Drosophila melanogaster: one gene and its partners. The protein of the gene in region 4 interacts with the protein of the main gene of each other region in a pairwise test. Each region holds a gene or a part of one and is shown on either strand. Other genes may lie near its edges.

Region 1 (3,733 bases), 9.6 Mb from region 4:
AGGCGGCTCTGGCCTCCATTATTATTGCGGCGGTTATTTTCATGGTCCAGTACCGAGTGATCAAGCCCATGTGGCACAGTAAAAGTGAGTTGAAAATAAATAAACCACACTCACATGTTTGTTACCATACGTGTGTATTTCTCCTGCCACAGAAACCGATCTCATTCCCGGCCTGGGTGCCTTTTTCGCCTGTCTGGTTCTGCCCCTGCAACTGGGCATCCTCGTGGGCATCGGCATCAATGTGGTCTTCATCCTCTACCAGGCAGCCCGGCCAAAGTTGCGCATCGAAACGCTGGCGGTGAGTCATTCCATCCGAAGTATCTCAATCTATACCTAGAATAGCTTCAGTGGCTGAAAGTATGCTACAGATTCTTAAGATTCGGATGGCATTTTTATCTCATGTTCATCTTACTGTAGGAATTAATATACTGCTAGTTGATATGCCATAGATGATTCCTATGATATTAATAAGCCGACCTATCTTTATAGACAACTACTGGTCTGAAATACCTAATGCTAACTCCCGATCGCTGTCTGATCTTCCCCTCGATGGAGTTTGTGCGCAAGGTGATCAACAAGCAGGGTCAGAAGTCCACACTGCCGGTGGTCATCGATTGCACCCACATCTATGGAGCGGACTTCACGGCCGCCAAGGTGATATCCACCATGGTGATGGACTTTAAGCTGCGGGAGCAGCCGCTGTTCTTCTACAACCTGCAGCCGCGAGTGGCGCAGGTCTTCGAGGGTCTGAACAAGGATCTGGTGGTCATATACGATATTAACACCCTGCACGCCAAGCTGGCGGAGAAGTCGCCCCCGATCTGAGGGATCCAAAGAAGTCCGAAGGGGGAACAACGCTGCAACCTCGTTATGCGATAGTCTTAGCCCAAGTCTAGTTCGTAGCTTAGTCTCTGTCCTAGACCTAGTACTAGCTTAGTCTTGCCACCGAGGCCAGCGACTAAATCTAGATGTGGGCTGCCCACGCTCATCGCCTTAGTTGAAGGTACCATTACCATTCCACGGCTAGCCCAGCTCACCTTAATTAGCATTTAAGATGTGGCAATCTTCGCAGATATCTGCACAATATTATTTATTTGGCCTCTAACGGCGAAACGCTGTGAATTCCAGAGTCAGGGCTCCTCCCACCCGCGATTTTGCCGCTGAACATAGTATTATTTTCGGGTAGCGAACGGCGAGTTTTAGCATAAGTACTTAAATAAATCAAGTAAATATAAAATAGTTAAGTGGCGTTAAGAGTTTTACTTGATTGGCCAAGAAAGTGGAAATAAAACACTCTCATTAGGTATTATACGTTGTTACCAACTACTGGCTTTATTAAAGATTTATTCCAAGATTGATAGACTTTATATCTAAACAACATCATGATTTCTGGGTGTCTTTAATCTCAAACTATGCTGTGATTTTATTTGGTGCTTCGTGTGGGAAGTAAATTTTTTGGTTCGAAGGCATCAATAACAAGAAAGCATTACTCGAGATAAGATTGAATGAATATGTTTGACACCTATAATAAAATAATATTTACGAAACGTGTGGCAATAATACGACTTATCTTAAAATTTTTAGTCTGTTCAAGAACCCTTAAGTTAAAGTGTGAAATGAAGTTTCCATCCCTAACTTGTCAAAATTTCCCAGCACTGCGTAAAAACTGTCGTCTCATCAGCCGGATTCAGTTCGTTCAAAAAAATAAGCAAAATTATATCAATAGCTCGGGAAGTTGTTGAGCGCTATACAAGGAAAGAAATAACAATTTGCAGTTCAACGTAATAAATTACTAGCTAGCCTTTTTTGAAGTGATTTTTTTTTCCAGAAGAAATATTAATTTTACCAGATGAGCAAAGACGTAGGAATCCCAGAGGGTTCCGAAGGCTTTCATTCATATTATACGCAGAAAATATCAGAGCTTCAGTTCACTGTGAACGAACGCCAAAAGAACTTGCTCCGTTTGCAGGCTCAGAGAAATGAACTCAACCTCAAGGGTAAGGTTCTTAGAATGAATATATCCTTTATAAGATTATCCTGCCTTATCCACAGTTCGCTTGCTGCGCGAGGAGCTGCAGTTGCTCCAGGAGCAGGGGAGCTATATTGCGGAGGTTGTGAAGCCCATGGACAAGAATAAGGTCCTTGTGAAGGTTCATCCCGAGGGCAAGTATGTAGTGGATGTGGACAAGACCATCAATATTAAGGATGTGACACCCAGCAGCAGGGTGGCCCTGCGAAACGAGAGCTACACGCTTCACAAAATTCTGCCCAATAAGGTGGACCCATTAGTATCCCTTATGTTGGTGGAAAAGGTGCCCGACTCCACCTACGAAATGGTGGGTGGCTTGGACAAGCAGATCCAGGAGATCAAGGAGGTGATTGAGCTGCCTGTAAAGCATCCGGAATTATTTGACGCCTTGGGCATTACCCAGCCAAAGGGAGTGCTCCTCTACGGACCGCCTGGAACTGGGAAAACCCTGTTAGCCCGAGCTGTAGCCCATCACACGGAGTGCACTTTTATACGGGTTTCAGGGTCGGAACTGGTTCAGAAATTCATCGGCGAGGGTTCGAGAATGGTAAGGGAGCTTTTTGTGATGGCTAGGGAACACGCTCCATCCATAATATTCATGGACGAGATCGACTCGATTGGTTCCGCTCGACTGGAAACCGGAACGGGGGATTCGGAGGTCCAGCGAACCATGCTGGAGCTTCTGAACCAACTGGACGGCTTCGAGGCTACTAAAAACATTAAGGTGATCATGGCCACCAATCGCATCGATGTCTTGGATCAGGCATTACTGCGTCCTGGTCGAATTGACCGCAAGATCGAGTTTCCGCCACCAAACGAAGAGGCCAGATTGGATATCCTGAAGATACATTCTCGCAAGATGAACCTCACCAGAGGCATCAATCTTCGCAAGATTGCTGAAGAAATGCCGGGGGCTTCTGGTGCTGAAGTCAAGGGTGTTTGCACCGAGGCGGGAATGTATGCTCTGAGGGAAAGACGGGTCCATGTCACCCAGGAGGACTTTGAAATGGCCGTCTCCAAGGTAATGATGAAGGACTCCGAGAAGAACATGTCCATCAGAAAGTTCTGGAAATAGCTTATATAACTAATTTTAAAACATTTGAAAGCTCCATTATCAGACTGAATATAATAGTTGATATAAATAATACAAGTTTTGTAGTATATTCTTGATAGAAAAGGACAGGAGTGTAAAAACAAAGACTTTACTCAAGTGAAACTACTAGATTAATGTTCGTAATGGTATAGATATAACTTAGCTAATTTTATTTGGGCGTTGTAAGACTAACTTCTAGCTAGTGAAAGAGTGCTGGCCATGCTCACGCATTCACTAGTTCCGTTTCCGGACTCGGCGTGGTCGAGTGAGTCCACGGACCTCGAAAGATCCGGCTCGTCGGGCCGGAGTTCCTGGTTGAGGGCATGGGTGTTGTAGCAAAGCACCAGCCTCGTGTTCAATCCCTCGAAGACACTCACTACACTGGGCTTCAAGTTGAAGAATATGATCTTTTGCTGACGCCGGCGGAAGTCGTCCACAATGGAGGATATTACTTTGGCGGCTGTGAAATCCGCAGCATAGATATAGGTGCAATCGATGACCACTGGCAATGTGGATTTGCTGCCCAACTTCAGTACCATATTTCGAACAAACTCCACCGAAGGAAAGATCAGACATCTGTCGGGGGTGATCTTCACGAATCTGATACCTTG
Region 2 (2,996 bases), on a different chromosome or scaffold from region 4:
ACTCAGTTTTCAGTTCGCCCGATTCTGGCATCTCGATTCTCTTTTGTTTCAGGTTTGGGGTTCCTGTTCTGGCCGTTTGGCTGGTTTCATTTATTATTTATGTGCATTTTGATGTGGAAAATATTCCTTTTTCGTCGCTTTGTTTGCCATGTTGTAGCTACGTTTTTATATATTTTGTTGTTATATGAAGTTTTGCCAGTTGAAAATTTGTCGCCACCCGGAAAAGTTTTTAGAGAGATATGTATATATTTTACGTATTGTCATTTGGATAACATTGTAATGCAGTTGGACTGGAATAGTTTTTTGTTTTGTTTTGTACAGTTCGAGAGCTGGAAAAGCTGCAGAGCAATTTCCACTTTACACTCTTGGCCATGTGGGTTAATTAGCACCGACTTTTCCTCAGCTAAAGGGAAATCACTTGGCAGTAACGTTTGAATCTGCAACATTACGAGGCCTTTGAGTTTCCGCCTTACCATACGTATATGTATAGTTCCGATTAACCCCGGCTTGGAAACTACAGTTCCGATTTAACCTGGGCTTAATGAGGCCGCAGATGCAGAGTTGGCCAAAAGAAACCGGTGATGTAATGCCACGCACATTTGCCACAAGGCAATGCCCCTACCACAGGCTAACTGCCCATTGTGTGTAAATTTGTTTTTCTGCTTATCGTTGTATTTCTTTTTTCTACGCTACCTCATATTGCACATAAAGGTAATTTCTAATTTGCTGGTGTTTTATTGTTTTTCTGCCGGCTCACTTTATGGCGCCGACTTATGCAACACCTCTAAGGCAGCGACGCATGCGCTCGAATTACACACATGGATATGGACACTAAACGCAGGGCTTTGCCTCTATATCGGCCATAAAAGCATAACGGCGTTCATTAATCATGCCGGTCACGTCGGCCCAAGAAAAAAAAATGAACTACACTAACATAAATTGTCTAAAAGCGAGAATGTGCTCTAGTAAGCGCAGAACTAATTGTGAATAGTTAATGAGGCTTGGAGACCAAACAGACAACAAGCCTTGAAAACACAGAAAATCTGATTTCTTACGAAATGATTCTATTTCGGGAAATTAAGTGGTTTCCCATTGTCATGCTTAATTGAAAATTGTAGTTCTATAAAGATCGTTTAGAATACTAAATACCTTTCGCAATTTCGCTATAAAATACTACCCGTACTACAAATAAGTTTAAGTTAATCGTAAAAGAAGTTTACGCATTGTATTGTGTTGGAATCCAAAAAGGGAATAATTGAATTGAAGTCTTTTTTATGTGGAACTCATCCCGATCTATCTTTATGTCGTCTAGGGCCTAGATTTTTCGCTAACTGCACCGAAGCTAGAGGTAACGTCGTGTGGCAGCAAAAGAACAGTAGCATCGACAACTGTTGCCAATTAGCGGCAACATGCAAAGCGCATTTGCATTTGCATTGAACCTGGAGCTCTCTATTTTGCGATTCTGCCTGCTGGCGACGACACCGGAGCCACCGATGGCACCAACAACCGAGCTGGAAAACGTAATCAGTTCAAGTCGCGGCACGGCATTAGGGTTCAGTTATCGGGGGCAGGTATAGGTATCCTAATTGAGTCCTTCAAATATAATGTACGGCAATAAACCCAGGATTTTTGCATACCTGGTAAACCGGGAAATCGCGAGGAAACCAACATCGCATCGAACCATATACCTGAGTGGCTTTAAAGTCGCCCGCACACGCACTGATTGCATCATTTGGCCTCAAACCAGTGAGGAGAACGTTTCGATTTGCATAGTATATACAAGAGGAAAATGTCAGACTATTCCAGCTACAGCAACTGCAGTGGCAACTCCCAGAGGAGAGAGCAATCCGTGAGCTATGCCCTCTACCTCCACCGTAGGGAGTTGGGTCGTCCCAGGCGCAAGATGATGCGAATCGCTAGCACCAAGTTGCAGCTGACAAACGAGCTCATCCAGCTGCAGCAGCGTCGCCAATGGGAGTCGGCCTTTGAACTCGAGTTCGACGCGGAGGCCAGTTCCCAGCAGATGAGTGCCCTCGATAGGGAACGGGAATATAGGGACAGATTGCGAACCAATATGCAGCGGCAACTCGAGAAGCAGCAGAAACGCAAGCGAAAGTATCTCGAGGAAATCGGCAAGCTGTAGTGCTGACAACTACGAGCATAATGCGGAAGGCAATAATTAATTAATTAATTGAGCACCATATTAAGTAAATTAAAGAGTAATGATAACTCTTATTGACAAACTAGAAAATCAAGATTTTCAAGCTATAGGTTTATTATTTCTGACTAAGGAAAGCAGGAACGTGAAACAGGGAACTCAGAAAAAGATTTTGTGATATAAAAAGACAACTTTTACCAACATTTACAAATATTATTTAGTTTTACGGCATTACAGCCTTATATGAATTATTATATAAATCTAGCATTAGAACAGAAGAATATCGCTCAATAAAATAGTTGCATAACAATTACATAAGGCCTTCTTTACTGAGACTATAAAACGAACTACAATAATTTCGAAATGTGCCAAAAGATTTGTGATTAGCTATCTATCGTTTATCTTCGCTCGTTTGCAGAATTGATTTTCCTTCTTTCTAGGCCACGGACTCTAAGCTGGCCTTAGCCAAGCCAAAAAAGTATCATAAATTACGAAAAAAAACTGCGACTTTCTGTGTGACTTCCACAACTCAAGAGATCGGGGCTGAGACAAGCAAAAGTGTTTGACTTTTGACACTCTTTCCTAGGCGGTTAAGGTGGCAACGTCTGTCAAGTGCAGGAAAAACTGAAAAACTACAAGCAAATAACTGCTAAACGAATACCTGGCACTGTACAACATTTTAACTAGCAAACACCAATTGAATGCTAATTGAACTTCTGTCAAAAAAATGTTATTGTATCGTAAAATACAATTGCAGTTTTTTTTGTGTATAGTTTTACCTGGAAAATAATTTGGAATTTTTCGTTTCTTCTAAAGTGCAACTTTCTACTATGTGTTG
Region 3 (3,078 bases), on a different chromosome or scaffold from region 4:
GAAAAAATTATTTTGTCCATTGTGTTCGTTTTTTAAAATAATAATTTGTTCCAAGAGATATCTTCTATGAAATGCAGTGGATGTTTCTGTGTCAATTACACGGCTAAAATGTTCACACCTAGCGTTAATAATGCAGCTGCGAAATGGATATGCATCCAGCGGATAAAAATAGAAGTACAAGCGTAGAGATACAGTATCAAGGGGGCCAAGGAAGTGCGCCAAAGAGCTCAGGCTGATTGCATTTCATTTTCAATTTAACTTACTTTTATTTCGAACTGCTGCTTTTGCTGTTCCGTTGGTAATACCGCCGTTCGAGCTGCCGGTCATTGCAATTACCATCGGAGGGCAGACAACAGTTGGAATTACATTTTCAATATTTCCCAGCAGCAAAGCAAAAGCAACAGCAATAGCAAAAACACTAGCATCAGCTTAATTTTTTCATTCGCTGTGCCCTTTTCCCCTAGATTCTTGGGCACTATGGCCATAAATTTTTAACTACAAGCTCTTGAATGCAATTACTTTTCAATCTTTTTTTTTTTATTTTTTTCCACCAGCCCTGCTTGTCTAGTCTGGCACTTGCCCTATGTATATATGTTCTATAGTTGAACGCGAAAATTGCTTATTTCAACATTCAACTTTGAAAAGTTTCGTTTCGTCTCGTTACATTTTAAGAAAAAGAAATGGGAATGAAGCTAAAGTTTGCCATAATTCTGCCAGAGGTCTATCACTTTCATTCCCCGCCCTCGATTTTTCCAACACACTCCTTAGCTGTCTTAACAGATTACTTTTATTTTTGTTGCCACGTATATATTTTAGAGCGGAAAAGTAGGTTGAACTTTGTGTTATTTGATCAGGATTTTTATGCAAAGGCAAGAAATGTGAATTTATAAAAAAAAGTGCCCTCCAATCCAGGCGACATTTTTCCGTTCCATTTTCTCCTGACTACACTTTGCACTGACAATGCAGTTATGTAACTTGAGCTCGGCGATTTTGAACTTCCAAAGTCATTCTCTCAACACAAATAATGCAAAATGTGATACCGCCGACTCTAAATTTTTATATAGTTTAATGTGATTACCAAGGATTGGAATTGATTGAAGATATAGAGAAGTATTTCTATTAAGAGTAGAATCAAAATTCAAATTTTAAGACGTTTTAGAAAAGTGTTATAGAGACCAATTTTTCTCAGTTATTGCTGTCATTATGCATATTGATCACTTTAGCCATCTTTCTTAGAGATCATTAATAAATTCTTAAAGGCCTTGCAGCTGTCTCCCGTCGCTAATCCAGTTCGGCACTTATCCTTTGCATCCTTCTCTGCAATTTACCCTTTTCCGCAGCAGGAAAATGCATGTTCATCCGGCAGTGGCTTGCGAATTTCAGCTGCTTGGGAAAATACGTTGTGTAATGTCACTTAATCTTTTTATACGCGCCAGTTGAGATATATTTTTTGTTGTAAATTGCCCGGGCGGCCGCGAGGGCGGATTACTGAAACGGATTAAGAATGAAAATGTTTGCAAAATACTAAAACTTTACGACGGGCAGCAGATTAAGAATGAATTGTTTTTTATTACGCCAACCGAAAGGGGCATAAGTCAAAAGTGCAGGTAAAGGACAGGTAACTTTTTGTCGATGGTCAAGGGTTTAAAAAAAGTCGGGACTCCGAAAGTTCAGGTAAACACAGGCAGCAGGATGTGGCTAGCTGGGATGTATAAAAACTAGCCTGATTGTTGAAAGGACATCAAACGCTCTGAAAACGTTGGACAAGCAGCATCGGATATTTTTACTTGCAACTGCAACGAATATTGCTGAGATACCACCTAGAGAATCTGCTAAGGAAATCAGCACCGGACTTTGTGTTTTATACCGAGACTTATCGATTATAAAATGCCGCGCTACCAGAAACTCATCAACGAATGCGACAGCAAGCCTGCGAAAAATGCGGGACAACAAGAGCAACAACAACATTGCTATCAGCAGCAGCCAAAAGGGACGCCCAATGTGGGATATCACCTGTATCTGTACCGCCAGCAACTTTCTCAGAAGAATGTGGAGTACATGAGGTTGTCCAAGGCCAAGTACTTTATCACCGACACACTGCTGGCCAAAACGGTTCGGAATTTGAAAGGATACAGCGCCGACGAGTTGAAGACTGTTAACCATCAGATCGTCTTTCGGCATAAACTTCGTCGCCAGATTCAGCGGCTTCGCAAGTTAAGAAGTCTGGGCATCAAGAATGCCAATCCCAAAATGGAGAGTACGGAATTGTGATAGTGATAAATATACACAGGATCGTCGGAGGAAAGACTATTTTACCGCATAGTACAAAAAATATCTCTAATACCTCTTACGTTTTTGGAAATCTCTAAAAGATATTACTTTGTGTAAATTATTCAAGAGATTGTAACGTATATTTTGTCATTTGCTTAAGTGAAGGGATGCATAAATTTATAAAATTGTATGGCCCAAAAAACATATCAATAAGCACTGATTATAATTAGTGTGTATTTGGTCTGCACTAATAACATTATTGATTAATTAATTTAATGACGTTTGTGAGCACAGTGAAGATAATTAAGAAAAGCACAATAATTTGATTAAATTGTAATGAAATAAACTCCCACGGTGTTAGTAATCAAAGCTTTTATATCAATGCATTCATTTTAAATTACGTCTTTAAAAGCGCCTGCCATAATATTTTGACCTTTCGAGGTCATGTATTTGGACGCCAGTTGTAACCAATATTTTTGGCAATCACCCAATTGTCTAAACAGCTGTTGCCACCTACTCAAGTTTAGACAACGGTATGGATGTGGACAGAAGCAACCTTAATGTGACTATCAAGTGAGGCCAATTTGTGGCAGCCACTAATTGAGTTCTCTGAGCCACAACCTGACACGTGTCAAGACAAATCATTTGAGCTGTTGGGCCTTATCTCTTGACCGCAAGTCTTTTGGAATTTATGACCCCTTCGGGTGCATTAAACTCGAATGCTATTATCGATTGGAAAAGGCGTTTTTAACTGGGCACGCAAATATTGAATGAATGATTTGGTACTTTTTGGGCCAGCATTTTTTA
Region 4 (5,628 bases):
CGAATCCCAATAAACTAACACATTAAACCGATCGATCTGGCTGTGAACTTTTCACTTCCCTGAAATCTTGGGCTTATCCTTATCGCTATGGGAAACTGGGGGAGGCGACTTCTCTGCTGCGGTTATGTAATGCCCCAAAAAAGCGCCAGATAAGACCAACCGCCGGTTGCGGAAGATGAGCGGATCGCCACGGCCCATGGAGATAAAGTTGTTTACAGGAATCCGGACCGAGCACAAAGACAAACAGCAATGGCAATAAAGCAATGGGACAGAGAGACAACCCAGCTGCAAGCTAATTAAAGTTGCGACAGAACGAAGCCAGTCGCCAGTAGTCCGCCAGTTGCGAATGGAGCAATTTCCAGCCGGGAGTGTTTGCAATCCTGGTACTATCCCGTGAGAAGGGCTGAAAAAGGACTGTAAAATACCCAGTTCCCATCTATAGTTATCTGTCGTGCCTGCAAGGGGCTACGGCAACTTTGGTGGTATTGACAAAAAAAAAACGAAAGATACATGTCACAGTTATCATATATAAATTATCAGTCATTTGAATAAATCATTATTCATTATTATTATTATTTTCACTTCTTGTTACAGATAAAGTTACATAAACTGCGTATACCCTCTTGTTCGGCACACATCCAGGGTACCACACGGCAAATATGTCCTGCAACGAGAAGACAGCGCTTCTGGCAACGCAACAAGGACATCAGCAGCGGCAGCAGCGGCAGCAGCAGCACATCATTGTCGTGCCCGCGACGGGGAAGGATCCAAAGGATTATGAGCCCATTTTCACAACTGCTGAGTAAACGCTTTCCGTCGTATTTCATTAAAAAATAACTTCGTTACACAGTGCCGCCTGCCCGCTTCTTTCGTAGCTATTCCTACGGACTGACGCTCGAGGAGCTCCTGCCCTTCGCTCTGGATCCCTGGTGGCAGGCCGTACGGCGCCTCAGCTGCGGGCTCCTGGGCCTGACTTTCCTGCTGACCCTGATTGCTGGACTGGTTATGGCCTATTCCGACAGTGTCTGTCTCCCAAATAGAGCAATTAGCAGAAACGCGACCACCACGACAACGATGGCCACGCCACTATCCTTGGCTCTCAACGGCTCCCAGCTGCTGATGGCCAGTTTATAGTGGCCGTAAGCTAATCTGTGTAGCATTTTGGAGATGCCGCAATCCACCCTGCGGAATTGCATCAGCCGCATCAGCTCGCACTATTAGCATTTGTTTGGCTTGCCGGTAATGGAGGCGACCTAATCCTCCTCCTCTCTACTGTTTACCCCTACTCAAGCTGAGTGATAAGCGATGCACCGCGGGATTGATTGGTCGTGAAATAATTATACTGATTAACTTATTTGCTACACAACCGCCTACTCGTAAAGTAAAAAGAATGCAAAAGGTATAAGGAAGCGTTTCCGTACCAATTAAGAACATTGTATCGCAAACTTATTAATTTTTATATATATACATATATATATATGAATATTACTTAAACTAATAAACGAATAGTTTTTTTTCATCGCTGTATTCTGGTTTCGGTTTCTGGGAGTTTAGAAGTTAACAAACCGCCTTATAGTTTTACAGCCCCACCCTGAAAAAATGGTTTGATTTAGTTTTATTTTATAAATAGTCTTGGCAATTTGTATACTTGTGAAAAAACATTTTCACCACGCCCACACTAGCGCGCACAATTAACAAAATCCTGTAGTTACAGAGGTGGTACTCTTGTCATTTTGGAAGTTTTATGTATTATGTAGTTTATGTATATATATAAAAAATATTTTCTTAGAATTTAAATTATTTAAAATATTATTATTATTATATTATATATTAACACATATTTATTTATTTATTTATTATATATATATATATATATATATATTAATATTATAAAAATTTAAGAGTTAGTAGCTGATCGCATTTCTGATAGTTGAGGAACTCGACTGTAGCGTTTTCTCTTGTTTCAATTTGCCTTTTTTTAAATATCTACACCGTTACTACATATTTTTTACATGACACAGTAGCGCCATCTGTGCACTTATCAGTGTTGGATAGCAGCGGCGACTTCGATTAAGCAATCGATTATTTGTTGCATATGTTGTTTACGGCAATTGTTTATATTTATTTACTGCTGGTGAAGTGATTATTCGTGATGGATTTTGACAGTCCCGAGGAGAAGGAGTTTCCCGGGCTGTACGCCTCCGAGGCGGCGGACGCTAAGTCGAGGAAGAGCAAGGAGGAGAGCGACTGTGAGTGGAGCGCAAAGATGTGGGCGTAAGCTGGGAAAAAATCAATGGGCTCACCTTGCCTTTACAGTTAGTGAGGATCACGACCATAGCAAGAAGGACTTGTTGATTGGCCGGCGCAAGGACAAGAAGGAAAAGGGCAAGGATCGAGGATACGCCGCTCTGGAGGGCGAGAGCTCGCCGGAGGAGGAGCTGGACACCAAGTGGGTGCAGGTCAGCTGACCCAGAGACAAGTAATATTTTTTCTTTTACTTCCAGAAGTCCATCCAAGTCGAAAAAGTCAAAGACCTTTAAGTTCACCAGCTCCAAGAGCAAGGAGAAGCGGGAAAAGTCGCGGGACAAGTCTGAAAAAGACTCGAAGCACGCAGAGGAGGAGCCTTCCGTCTCCCACAAGGTCAAGGAGAAAGAGCGGGATAAGGAGAAGGACCGTGATGAGCCCAAGAAGAAGGACAAGGAGGAGAAGCGCAAGGAAAAGGACAAGAAGGCTGACAAGAAGGACAAAAAGGATAAGAAGAGCAAGCAGCTGTCGCAGCAGCAGGACGACGTCTCCGCCGCGGAGGAAGTGCTGGCACTTGGGTATCCCGTCTTTGGGGTGTCCGTTAGCTTGGCGACCGAACGATCCCGCTGCCACGACGGCGTGGACATTCCCCTGGTTGTGCGCGACTGCATCGACTTCCTGCAGGATCACCTGAAGTGTGAGCAGATCTACAAGATTGAGCCCATCAAGACGCGTCTGATGCACTTCAAGCGGTTGTACAACAACCGGGAGCACGACTCCGCCGTTGATGAGCTCAACCTGCCTACCGCCTGCAGTCTGCTGAAGCTCTTCCTGCGCGAACTGCCGGAGCCACTGCTGACCACCGATCTGGTGGCCCGCTTTGAGGAGGTAGCCTCTCATCCGAAGGTAACCACGCAGCAGGCAGAGCTGCAGCAGCTGCTTGAACAATTGCCCAAGTGCAATCGCACCCTCTTGGCGTGGGTGCTGCTCCACTTCGACGCGGTGATCCAGCAGGAAAGACACAATAAGCTCAACGCTCAGTCGCTGGCTATGCTGCTCAGTCCGACGCTCCAGATGTCTCACCGACTAATGGTGGCCCTACTCTGCCACTGCAACAACTTGTTCGCGGACGTCCAGCTGATAAAGTGAGCAAACACCGGCTAGCCGGATAACAGTGGTGGGAAATATCCAAGTACCTTTGTGTTGGTAAAAGAGAAGTCCACATTTAACAACTATAGTTAAATCACAAGAACGAATCGAAGTCATAGCTCTGAAGTTAACTACTAAACTGTTAGTTTTAGTAAACTGTTAGTTTCCATATTTATCTAATGATATAAATTGTTTTTTTATATGTATAATAGGTACTTATAAGAACCCAGATAATTCCCACCACTGTTGGCAGTTGATAAGATTGCTGCTATAAAAATCGCCAGATTTAGTCGTTTATTTTGCAACCGACGATGAGCACATTACCCCGTAAACAGAAGCGCTTTCCACGTTTCGCCAGTTTTCTAATCAGGCAGAATGGCACACATTTAAACAAAGTTATCATAATACTAAATTGTCATCTCTTAGGTATGTGCCCCCTTTAACATCGACCAGCCCAAAGCTTCCGGATACGCCGGAGGACATCCAGACGGAGTTGCGCAAGCAGGACAGCCTCCTGTCCCAGATCCACAGCGAGATGAACGCCGGGTTCATTACCAAGAAACGCGAGGAACAGCTGTGGGAAGTGCAGCGCATCATTACCCAGCTGAAGCGGAAACTACGAACTTTTGAGAAGAAACAGGAAAAGACTGCGGAGGAAGTAGACAACAGCAGCAGTGCTCCGCCCGCTGTAGCCAGTGAAGATACCACTGACTCCAAACCAGCTGGAACTCCAGCCGTATCTACGAACAACAGTATTTCCCAGGAAGAGCCAAAAACCGATACACTAACTCCGAAAGATGCTCCTAACGATTTTACTATTGATCCCAGCACTGGCTTTATTTTGCTCCCCAAATCAAATCCGCACCGCGAAAATTTGCTGCGGCTCCAAATTGAATATGACGAGCTAATGGAATGGCAGAACGAACTAAAAGCACGTATCGTCGCCGAGCGCAACGAAGTCTATAGGCTCAAGCAGCTGTACGAGCAGCAGTCAATAAACAGTCAAATGGCCTCCTTGGCCTCGGGATCTCAGGCTCCCCCAGAATCCGACTATGAGCGGATAATCGAGCACTATACACGGGAGAATGCGCTGCTGGAGCACAAGAAGAATATGCTGGGCATGGAACTAAAGGAGGAACGACGGGCCTGTATTGCTCTACAAGTTGAGCTGCGGCTCCAGCAGTTTTAATGTATTAATTCGATTAATGTATTACTTGGATGGGTCAATTTGAGGGATATAACTAAGTTCCTATTCCGGAAACTTAATGGTCACATTTCCAAAGAAACATAAAAGGTCTACTAGGCAATCATAGGAGGTTTCTTAGATTCGTAGAAGACAATTCTATGTCACATATCTAAAATATTCAAATGAATAAACTTGTAAAGTTTTTGATAATTCATTTATCTGCAAACGTAGTCACTGTTCTAAACAGTGTCCTTTGTGAATTGCAATATATGAGAATTTTCAGTTCAGCTTTTAAGGAGATAAAATACTGCTAAAACATAAAACGGATTCCTCATGCCTAAAGTCAGTTTATTGTTTATTTGGAAATGAGCTAGTTTCAGACTTGACCCACCGAAATATATGTATGTATATAGGGTTACCAATTTTAAATCTCAATGTCTACTTGCGATCAAATGCTTTGTTCAAACTATAATTACTGTTAAACGGCGCAAAGCCCCAAAGAAATCTTGTTAGACAACTTTACTGCTTTCAACAATTAAATGAGAAAACAAACTCAAAATTCCCTTTTCTGTACTGAACTATTGCATCGAAATATGTCTCCTCGAAGAATTTTGTAAATGCCGGTAAAGTAGCTGCGTTTGTGTGTGCCGACAATCAAGATCCGATTTTCTAAATCGGTCTGATGACTTAATTCCAATCCGAGAAATACAGGGCACAGATTAGAAGATGTTTAGACGACGGATTGGCTGTTCGCTGGGGTGAAACGGAAATGACATCATCTCATATTACGTCTTGTCAACATTGTGATGGTCAAGGAACCGAGGTGGGCTTTGCGTGTTACGATTACTTTATTTAATATTTATTATTAATAATTTTAGAATACATTATCATTATGCATTACGTTCGGGGCGTGTTTTCTGTATTCCGCTGAAGTACAACTTAAAAATATCACACACAAATACCACGGGGGAAAGATGAGTCCTCCGGAATGCCAAACCGCGTCAACTCGCTCCCCTCCATGATTAAGTTATTTCCGCTGGACTACAGAT

The links.
Region 1: the proteins of Rlip (region 4) and Rpt6R interact in a two-hybrid assay, tested with the Drosophila melanogaster proteins (one large-scale study listed by BioGRID).
Region 2: the proteins of Rlip (region 4) and CG13712 interact in a two-hybrid assay, tested with the Drosophila melanogaster proteins (one large-scale study listed by BioGRID).
Region 3: the proteins of Rlip (region 4) and CG13711 interact in a two-hybrid assay, tested with the Drosophila melanogaster proteins (one large-scale study listed by BioGRID).

The regions. Positions count from the first base shown.
Region 1 is NT_033777.3:30,581,640-30,585,372, reverse strand, and holds Rpt6R (regulatory particle triple-A ATPase 6-related), read left to right. Parts: upstream 1-1,675; 5' UTR 1,676-1,849; coding exon 1,850-1,997; intron 1,998-2,052; coding exon 2,053-3,104; 3' UTR 3,105-3,175; downstream 3,176-3,733. Other genes in the region: CG9717 (uncharacterized protein), read left to right, coding at 1-84, 153-298, 490-825; CG9702 (uncharacterized protein), read right to left, coding at 3,311-3,733.
Region 2 is NT_037436.4:4,708,650-4,711,645, reverse strand, and holds CG13712 (uncharacterized protein), read left to right. Parts: upstream 1-1,755; 5' UTR 1,756-1,789; coding exon 1,790-2,143; 3' UTR 2,144-2,437; downstream 2,438-2,996.
Region 3 is NT_037436.4:4,756,142-4,759,219, forward strand, and holds CG13711 (uncharacterized protein), read left to right. Parts: upstream 1-1,741; 5' UTR 1,742-1,887; coding exon 1,888-2,271; 3' UTR 2,272-2,567; downstream 2,568-3,078.
Region 4 is NT_033777.3:21,015,626-21,021,253, forward strand, and holds Rlip (Ral interacting protein), read left to right. Parts: upstream 1-2,058; 5' UTR 2,059-2,152; coding exon 2,153-2,249; intron 2,250-2,316; coding exon 2,317-2,449; intron 2,450-2,504; coding exon 2,505-3,389; intron 3,390-3,819; coding exon 3,820-4,582; 3' UTR 4,583-5,128; downstream 5,129-5,628. Other genes in the region: CG5697 (uncharacterized protein), read left to right, coding at 660-802, 876-1,134. UniProt on the Drosophila melanogaster protein: Participates in receptor endocytosis during interphase, is also involved in mitotic processes when endocytosis is switched off.